2 linked regions of the Cricetulus griseus genome follow. The protein of the gene in region 2 purifies or fractionates together with the protein of the main gene of each other region. This does not show direct contact. Links are inferred from orthologs where the notes say so. Each region holds a gene or a part of one and is shown on either strand. Other genes may lie near its edges.

The links.
Region 1: the proteins of Esr2 (region 2) and Ube3a purify together in Homo sapiens (affinity purification with western blotting; 4 studies listed by BioGRID). This does not show direct contact. The link is inferred for Cricetulus griseus from reciprocal best matches to the Homo sapiens genes ESR2 and UBE3A.

Annotation. Positions count from the first base shown.
Region 1 is NC_048596.1:138,673,366-138,678,760, forward strand, and holds part of Ube3a (ubiquitin-protein ligase E3A), read right to left. Parts: intron 3,959-5,395; coding exon 3,753-3,958; intron 2,995-3,752; coding exon 2,830-2,994; intron 1,560-2,829; coding exon 1,404-1,559; intron 1,317-1,403; coding exon of another isoform or gene 1,310-1,316; coding exon 1,236-1,309; intron 1-1,235. UniProt on the Homo sapiens protein: E3 ubiquitin-protein ligase which accepts ubiquitin from an E2 ubiquitin-conjugating enzyme in the form of a thioester and transfers it to its substrates.
Region 2 is NC_048598.1:127,340,821-127,346,215, reverse strand, and holds part of Esr2 (estrogen receptor beta), read right to left. Parts: intron 3,168-5,395; coding exon 3,029-3,167; intron 2,176-3,028; coding exon 2,122-2,175; intron 1-2,121.

The sequences.
Region 1 (5,395 bases), on a different chromosome or scaffold from region 2:
TTTTATAAATTCTGAATACATGTGATAATTATTAAAAGGTTCCTGTATTATAAGTTTTTAGGAGGTGGGAGAATATCAGAGGTTTATTTTAGTGTTTGACTTCCTAGTAACTAAAAATTCCAAAGAAATTTTCACTGTGTTTATACTAACAAAAATAAAAAGTTGTAGTTTCACAAAATTTATGATACTATAAACTGTTAAGTTTGAAGCTTTATTACTGATGTAATTTTTTTTCCATTAAACCCTGAATTCACAAACAAGGTAAGCATGACATAAGAATGGTACAGTTACAAAAACACAAAACTTTGATTTGTTTCTAAGATAATATATCCATGAACAAAAGTCCAGGATACTTTTACTGTTCTAAAATGAAATGCATTGTAATGCTAGTTTTCTCATATTAATTCTGTGAGAAGGTCTATTTTGGATCAACATTATTACCGAGATAATGTTATGATATTCCCATTAAGGCTTTCCTACTAGCATGTTATTTCAACCCTTTGAAACTGAGTGTCTAGGAGCAATATCATGGTTGTCATTGTAAACACACTTATGACTGCTGCAGGGCAAAGCAACAGTAATCTTCTAAAAACCTAGAAAATTAATAAGATAATACTGTAATATAAAACTAACCAATATAATGTGTCATTACTAGACATAGTTAATATTCATTCTGTTTGTTACATACTCAAGTCTTAACAGCTTGAGTGATCTTCCAAAAAGGTACCTATTTAAATGCCTGCGACTTCACACAAACAAGGGATACCAAAAGGGCCTATCTGTCATTTTTACCAATTATATTAGGGGATCAGGAACCTGTCTTTCAGAATTGAATATTAGTATGGTACAGAGAAGTACGAACAATAACCAGGGCATCTGACTAGAGAAAGACAGTACTGGTAATACTGTTCTGAGAATTGTTCAGAAACACCAGTACATATCATTCTTCCCAAATGTCTTCAAGACATTTGTATCTTAAATACTAAAGAATGTACCATTTTATACATTACCAGAAATAAACCAAAACCATGAGACTTAGATAACCATTTAATTAATCAAACAAACCATTAGACTGTATGAATGTTGGTAATATTAATAGAAGTCTACTTTTACAGATGAGAGCCTTTGAGATTGCTTGTTTGGGAAGCAACACCAACAGATACAGGTCTGAATCACAATACACACAAACTTCTTTGATGAGTAAAATCTTCCTTCTTAAGAATTAAACACCTCACCTAATCACAACAGACTCTCTTGTATAGCCACCATCATATTCTGTAGTTTCTTCTAATGCTTGGAAATCTAGATTCTGAAAATTATAGAAAAAAAAATACACTTTAGCATCTATGTCACACCATTCAAAAGACTAAATTATGAGGTGTTTTTGCAGATGTCTTTCTTACCCGGCTTCCACATATAAGCAATTCAATCTCTTCCGGTCTGAATAAGTACTTTAAGGGAGATTCATTAGTCACCATATGAAAACCTCTGCGAAACGCCTTGAACTGTTTTTCTACTGATTTATTGAGAATGTAGTCGGAATAGAGATTTACAAATTCCTGTAAAACATTAAAAACAAGATTCACCTGCTATACATTCACATACTAAACATTAACATGCTATACAAGTGAACACAAATAGCTATTAGGCTGCATAGCCGCTTTTAGCCCCACCCAAGAGAAATCCTTCAAGAGTACTTTTTAAAAAAAAAAAATTAAAAAAATTATTTTGGAGAGATGGTTCAGTGGTTAAGAGCATTATCAACTCTTATAGAGAATCTAACCTCAATTCCCAGCACTAGCATGGCATCTAACAACCACCTGTAATTTCGCTTCCAGGAAACTAAATACCCTCATGCCTCCATGGGCATTATATGCAAACAATCCACCAACATATATACAGGCAAAACACTCATGCATATAAGACAAACCTAAGTCTCTAAAAAATATGTTAGATGTTGTATGGACAAAGAAAAATACTTTCACAATTCCTCACTTCTGACATATTAATATATAAGTAAACATGAGTTATACATATAGATTATGATTCTGAGAATTAAATAGGAATTAAAATAAAATTTTATAATAGTAAAAATTAATATAAAAACAGAGACACAACACAACATTTCAAAGTCCTTTAAACAAGTATGCAAATATAAATATATGAATATTGAATTTGAGCAAACCAGAACATCTCATGTTTTCTACTAGAGATATTGTAAACTACCTACTATGTCCAGTTCTGCAAAAACACTATTTGTTGGTAAGCTAAGCTACTGCATCAAATTACAAATATGTATTCTGTATCTTGACATATTTTATCAAAAATATGTAATATCAAAAATATAGTTATATAAACTTACACATTTCTTAAAAATTATACTATTTATTGTAATTTTCTTATTCTGTCCTTATTTCCTATTCCCAAATGAATATATTTTCAAGTTATTAGAAACCAAATCTAATGAAAAGAATAATTTTAATATGTATAATCAGATTTCAAATTAAATAGGATCTTAATCACTGGGCCCTGTTTACCTTAAGGGTTGAATATGGTAATGCCCTGTTTCAGGTATTTTACTATTATATTTACCCATTCATTTTCTCCTAGTATATGTACTCTTTCTCTAAAGAGGGATTAGCAATTAATGTGTACACTTACATCAGCTTTTATCTAATAGTTAGCAAAATATACCTTTACTATTTATATGAATTTATTTATAATGTTTTTGTTACTGCTTCAAACTGTATTAAATAATTCTTTGAAAACTCTAAGAATACTGCTTTGAAATTACATATTTACAAAACAATGACAGAAAAATTTTATTACCTTCCTGTTTTCATTTGTAATTGGAATTTTATCACCATTTTCCTTTAGATCATACATCATTGGGTTACCAAAAAGATCTGTCTGTGATATCTGGAAAGTGATCATCATATCATCTTCCACATTCCCTTCATATTCCAATAAGTCCTTTAAACTCTGATATAAAACCTAACAACCAGAAAGAGAAGTGAGGCTACCAAATAACTTGTAAAACACATTTTAAACAGAGAGAGAGAGAGAGAGAGAGAGAGAGAGAGAGAGAGAGAGAGAGAGAGTGTGTGTGTGTGTGTGTAAGAGCTTGTTTTATTCCTTTTAGAAGCAATTTGTCAATAAATAATGAAGCCAAAATTATTTCCCCATCTCCCAAGTAGTTTAATAAGACATAAAAGACTGTAACTGAGCCAGGAAGTGGTGGCATTTCCCTTTAGTCCCTGCACTTTGGGGGGCAGAGGCAGGCTGATCTTGATGGGTTCAAGGCCAGCCTGGTCTATAGACTGAGTTGTGGGAGAGTCAGAGTTACACAGAGGGGGAAGAAAAAGCAAAAAAACAAACAAACAGACAAAAAAAAGAAAAAAAGAAAAAGGTCACTGATACTGTATCAAACTTTGCAGCTGTATCTATCAAGGAGAAGGAGGCAATGCTCATTTACCAGGCAGACTTACAAGTTTATATTGAAAAGAGAATGTTTACAAATTTCACTATATAGTCAATCAAAAGTTGCTTGATGCAATCTATAAAAACAACACTCTTTAAAAATTTAAGTGTTCATTATACTTAAAACAGATTAAAAAATTTTTTACCACATTGGGTAGCAGTAGGTATTGACAAAAGATTCCAAACAAAAAGATATTTTTATATAAATTAAGATGTATTTCTGTATTTAGATAGTATCTCAGAGACTATTTAAAGAATGACAAAGAACTTACTGGGTGAGAATCTCCCAAGTCACGAAAGGTTCCTTTTTTCCCCATTAGCTTCCTGTAGACAACCATGGGAAAGTGGACATCCAGTATACAGTTATTGTAAATAGCCAGACCGAGGACTATGCCAATCAGAGTAAACTGACCCTCGGTTTCAAAGGAAGATGGATTAAACCAAAATAATTTTGTGGCTTCATCATATGTGAACATACCTATAAAAAATAAGTTTTAAAATAATTTGTATTTTTGAAAATCTAAAAATTTAAAAATAATTTTAAACAAAATAAGACAAAAGAATTTTAATATAGTAGATATGTTTTTGCTATTGCATGCATGTGAGAAAACTGTACAAATATAGTAACTGATTATCATTAAGTGTATTAACTAGTGGTATACAACTCTAAGAAGCCAACAAAACAAAATATGAAATTTGGGTGACATTCCTGGAAAGGTATTTTTAAAAAGTTTTATTAGGTTATTCAAGGCTTATCAATTTTCATTGACTAATGAAAGGTTAATTTACAGTCATATTTTAGCCACTCAGATGACTGAAAAGTACATAAGAAGCAAACTCATGATCAAGTACAAGAATTAGATAAAGTTGATTAACTTCCAGTTACTTAAGATACATAGCTAATGTGAGCTAATAGTTTTAAAAACCAAATTTGTAATATTTCATCTTTACATAATCACCATTATTCAAGATCTAACTTCAAAGACATTTTTTCATATCATTATTTCATCTAAGGGAGCAGAAATAGATTTGTCTTCTTTTTTCACTGAACATTAAATACAAAAATATTTTAAATAAATCCATATGCGTTTTAATTTTTCTAAATTCATTTTCAGTTGCCTCTCAGGAAACACTTGTAAATTAAGGTTTAATATGCTGGGGGAGAGGGGATTGCACACCTTAGCACTTGGAAGAATGAGGCAGGTGGGTCATGAGTTTAAGGCCAGAATGCACGAATACAATATAAAAAGACTGTCCACAAAACCAAAACCAAGAACAAAGTAAACAAATCAAAGAAGGCTTGGGCAAAGAAACTTTTAACCTAATGGAACATTTCTCAAAACCAAATAAAACAGCATTAAAATGTGCTTCTAAGTTCATTTTGAAAAGATTTAAAACTTTTCATTTTCAGTTTTAATGAAAAGAAAAATACAATTTTCTCTTTGACCTCTATACTTCTTTTTGCAATTTAATATTTGTGAAATACTCGTTTTAAAATTATCCAACTCATATTTGAGTTCTACAGTTTGAAAAATATGTATACATGTATGGTTATTTATTTGCAAGCCAAGTTATAGATCCACAGAGTATCAAAAACTCCAATTGACAAGCAGTAAGTGGGATAGAATGTCACAAATGGATGATTTTGGTTACAAGAACAATAAGCTATAAATTATCCAGTGTCTAAAATTCATAAGCCATTATTCTCATGCCTTCAGTAGCTTCCAATCCTCCATTCCAAGGTTTTCCAAATTAAATTTACCAAAAAGGTAATTGTCATCTACCAGAATATTTGGTTAATTAATCTAAGAAATAAGGTAAATACAGCAGTAGACAGATCAGTTCCTGAAGCATACACATTTGTTATCTATAATTACAAGTAAGCCATATCCAATTCTTTTGCTGTTCATCATAG
Region 2 (5,395 bases):
GTAACTTCTTACTTGAATGCTTTTTCATAAAAAAGTATCCTGTTTTGATACAATGGCAAAATATTGAGTGGCCTTGCCCTGATTTGGCATTGCCTATTTTCCATCTGCATCTATATCTGATGGGTTCCACACTAGTTTATCTCTGTAGGTGTGGCAACTGGACAAGGGCAAGGGGCCCAATTGATGGCTTAGCACATGGGAGGGGCTTCATAAAAACTGAACTAAAATGAAATTACTTAACTACAAAGGGTAAATTAAAATTTAGGAGTAACAGCCTATGATCTTCAAGAATATTCAGCATATCAATACTGAGTGTGAATGCAGCCCCTAAGAACACTCATAGTCATAGGAGTCTGGAGAAGCCTGTCAGTGTTCATAGTGCAGCCCCAGCCCAGCTCCAAATGTCCAGTAACAGCTCTGTTGACAGTTTCCTGTTGATGCTGACACAAAGGTGTCAGCATACATTTTTTAATTTAAATGGCATCATGTGTGTGCATGTCTCTCTCTCTCTCTCTCTCTCTCTCTCTCTCTCTCTCTCTCTCTGTGTGTGTGTGTGTGTGTGTGTGTGTGTGTGTGTGTGTGTGTGTATGTGTGTGTGTGTGTTGTAGTTAAAGGTCAGAATCATTTTGTGTAGTCAGTGCTCTCCTTTCACCGTGTGGATCTTAGGGATCAAACTCAGGTCACAGTCTTGATGAAAAGCTCCTCTACCCACTGAGCCATCTTGCCAGCCACATATGCATTTTTGGGCAAATAGAAGCTCAGGTTCCACACTAGATCTTCACATGAATTTATGTTTCTAATGGATGCCAAAAGAACTACCTCGTTACAAATAACCCCAAATCACTGGGTTTTCCCTTCAGCCTCAGTACATTCAAGGTTGTTTCGTTTTGTTTTCTGTAGAAATCTCAGTAAGAACAAATGGAAACAGGTAGGGGGTTTAGCTCAGTGGCCAAGTGTCTACTTAGCAAACTCAAGGCTCTTTTGGTTTTGTATCCAGCACCAAAAATAAACAAAAACCAAAATCACAACAATAAAAAGTGTTTAGTCGCCAGGCGTTGGTGGCGCACGCCTTTAATCCCAGCACTCGGGAGGCAGAGGCGGAAGATCTCTGTGAGTTCGAGACCAGCCTGGTCTCCAAGAGCTAGTTCCAGGACAGCCTCCAAAGCCCCAGAGAAACCCTGTCTCGGGGAAAAAAAAAAAAAGTGTTTAGTGCTTGTATTCACGTGAAACACCATGTGAGGAAGCTCTGACATGTCAGCGGTGGGAGTGGGGGCGTGACACACCCATACTCAGAGAAGGGGAGAGTTAAATTTACTCCTGTACATGGTCTCCAGTTACTGACTCAGCTACTGAAACACTAGATTTGGCATCCATCCAGAAACTGAAACAAAAAGTAAAATATTTTTAGCCCCACTATGCACCAACGGGTGGAACAGCTAGCGTAGTAGAATTACATGTAGATGTTTATTATATGTGTTTGTGAAGCAGAATGGATGAGTGAGGCAATTGCCTGGCCAGCCTTTCAGTTTGACTGACAGCCCTGAGGTGCAGTAGGAGTGTGTTTCTGAAGAGGGTAGAAATAGACCCAGTCATGGGGCTATGTTCTAAGGTAAAAGAATAAATTATGAAGTCGCTTTGCCTTTGGCCTTCTCTTTCCCCTTCTGATTCTCTTTCCCACGGGGGTAATGTGCTATGTGTATGGACTTTAGAACCAGATGCCCACACCTCCACTATCACTTACTACCCTGCCTGTAAATCAGTTACCTCACTTCCCATTTCCCTAACTGAAGACCTGGGATGATGAATGGTGTTCACTCCCAAAGGGCTTTTGGAAAGATTAAGGAAGGCGACACACACCAAGTGCTTAAGATGGTACCTGGCACACACCAGCTAATAAGTTAGCTATGTGACGGTCACTGGAGGGTATGGTACCTGCCCCACTGCTCTGGCCTTCCAGAGCCTCCCTCTCTCGGTCACCACTTGGGCTTGTTCCTGCTCAAGCCACATCCCATGCTTCAGCTCTTCCCACAGGATTTGTTCTCCACCAAAACACCTCCATTACTCAGAGCAGTGCTCTCTGTCAGTGCCATCCATGACAACAGGCAGAATGGATGCTGATACCTTGGGGCAGCACTCTTCATCTGCGCAACGTGCCAGTGAGGGTCTTCTGATGACCTACAGTGGTAACAGGATTATGATGCAAGAGTTGGGGTGGGCACTTTAGGTTCACAGCACCAGGCATCCTCCTGATCTTGTGCCCAGTCTAACGTGCTGAACACTTAACACTAGTCCTTTTTCCATGGAGATTGTTTTCAAACCTCTCAAAGGTACACCAAAAATTTTCTATTTTTTCCTATAACAAAGCTCGACTGTTATTGAACATTCCAGTTTTATCTTCCATAAGCAGTTCAGCTAAATCAAAGCTTAGTTCCTACTCTCTGCCATCTTTAAAAGAAAACTAGGTGCAACCACTCTGTGACATCCTATCACGACCCAAAGCACTGTCATGTCCCAATGTCTGCTAACTTTCATTTGGCCTTAGAAACGAGCCCTCCCACCACATGTTCCAAAAATGCTACTAGAGATTAATGATACTATCGGCATTAAAGCTATAGCCAATGAAAATAAATTTGGAAGGGTCATAAGCATTTTATCACCAGTCCAGAGATGCAACTCATCACTCAGAGCAGGGCAACTCAAGAATATAATGTGAGAACAGAATGTTTAATGCAAAAACACAAAAATCTATGTTGACTGTGCACTCAGTGGCCATTACCCTGCAGGGTGCAGTTCCCTGGCCTGTGACTGTTGGTGCACCATTGATTAGAAGGGATTGTGGAAAATGAATCCTGGTACCCAAGCCCTCTTCTCCATGGGCTCTTGACCCAGTGAAGGAGTGGATGGTGTTATAGTCCTCTAATTGCCCTTTCAGGTGTGAGAATTTAATTACAGCACCTAGGACTTGGCTCCCACTCACTTTGCTTAGTCCAACAGATCTGAGATGAAATGCAAAGTATTTATTTCTCACCTGTCCAGAACGAGGTCTGGAGCAAAGATGAGCTTGCCAGGGTGGTCGATTGAGCGCCACATCAGCCCCACCATTAACACCTCCATCCAGCAGCTTTCCAAGAGCCGAACTTGGTCCAACAGGCTGAGCTCCACAAAGCCTGGGGAAACAAGAGTCCATGAAACAAACACACCTCCCCCTCTGTAAGGGAAACACCAATGACTGGAGCCCCTACATTCTATACTCTTGCTTTTGGGATAATTGTTGTTAACCTCTCCCCAGACCCCTCAGCAATCCGTTTCTGTAAAGACAGAATGGCAAGTTATTAAACACTAAGGAAACTCAGACAACAAAGGAAAGTAATCAACCAGTATTTCAAAGAGGCGATTAAATGTTGGTTAAAGGAACCTCAGATGTGCAACTTGCAGCTTCCAGCCTCCGACCTCTCCAGAAAATAAACAAACTCTGTTTAATATTTCTAAAGAATCATTGGCTCCCAAGATAGATGCTAGAAAGGGCCCAAAAGGCAGAGCTAGGCTTGTTAGCTGTGACTATACTTTCCTAATAATTCCTGCGCCCTGCTGAGGAAGCCAAAGCACAGCTATCAGAGAGGCTGTCTGTCTGTCCCAATCCATGGTTTGGAGGGTGGATGGATGGAGTAGGTAGAGTCTAGATGACTGGGGGTAGAAGGTAAAGCAGAGAGCAGTGCCAGCCTCTACAGAAAGCCAAGGCTTCAACTAAAATAGGTTTCCTGACTGATGAACATTCCCCATGCAAAGTTCTGTCTGTTCTGGGAAGGGTGCTGTCTCTAGGTGCTTCTATCCTAAAGAGCAAAGATAACAACTGAAGCAGTTGATACTCTAATGGCATGAATTAGCCACAGCACTGGAAGGTAACACAGAATCCCTAGGGAGTGAATGCCTTTAGCACAAGGACAAGGACATAGGAACTTCTTTCCATAACGCACACTAATAAGAGGGGGCTGTGAACACAGTAGCCAAAGTACAGCCTTGGAGTGAAATGGATTCTGGTTTTGAATACCAGCTTAGTCCCTTTCTAATGAGAGAGAGAGAGAGAGAGAGAGAGAGAGAGAGAGAGAGAGAGAGAGTTGTGCACACTAGGGAGCAAAGCCAGGGCCTTGAGCTTGCTAGGCAAGTGCTCTACCACTAAACTCCATCCCTAACTCCTCTCCCCCAGCTAAATTAGTCTCTTGTCAAACCTGTTTTTCTTCTAGGAAAAATGGAAGTGATCTTGCCTCCCTCTGAGAATTTCCTATAGGTAAGATCGCTTATAAATGTTTACCAGTGTTACTACAATGCAATACCACACATGCTCAAATCTTTGGATAAAGGTACTGTAAATGTGCACAACAGAGAAGTGCATGGAGCATGAATGTAAACATGGACAAACCCAGAGCCAGGGAGATGGCTCAGTCAGTAAAGTACTTGCTAGGACTGGAGTCTAATCCTCAGGACCCATGTAGCAGCCACCTATAATCCCAACATTAGAGAGAAAGAAACAGAAAGATCTCTGGGGCTCACTGGCCAGCCAGTCTAGCCAATCAATGAACTCCGAGTTCAGTGAGAGCACCTGTACCAAATTATAAGAAGGCAACCAATTGAGAAGACACCAGTATCAACCCCTGGCCTCTAGACTCTCACATGCAGGCATGCACACACACAAGCACATATATCCACCACACACAGACAAATCCTTCCAGAACCACATGCTTATGCTCAGTTCAGATCCTTGTAAATGTACAGTTCCAATCTCACAGTCATATGTAAGACACCTGCAAATCTTTCAAAATGCTAGGCATGAAGAAAGATTAGCTGGGGGATGGGGGAAGCCAAATAGCTTCCCGAGGTCAGGAATCTCATCTTCATTTTTGCTGTGAGATCCTGCAACTGGTGTTTGGGAAACACTCGAAATAAAAACTAGAGGAAAGTGCATCAGTGTTTTTCTTCTCTGGGAAACAGCAGACAAAATGAAATAGTTCTGGCAAAGGTGGAGACACCAGACAAAACAAAGCTGGGAAGCAGAAGCCCTCCAGAAAGCACAGACAAAATGGGGCCAGCCAGCAACAGCCACCAGAGGCCCTTGCACCAGGGGCCGTGGCTCCCATGGCTCGTTATCCATCTACTCATCTACTTTACCACAGATACTACCCCCACTGCCCCAGGGCCAAGGGAACCTAGCTTAGAATTCGTAGAGAGACTATTTCTTAGATGGTTGGAAAAGAAGTGGATGGCCCACCCTATGAGACTCTCTTCTCAAAAAAGAACAAGATGTAGGGCTGCACCATGTGTCAGTCAGTAAAAATGCTTTTCATGCAAGCCTGACGACGTGACTTTGATCCCTGGTGGAAGGTGGAAGCAGAGAACTGAC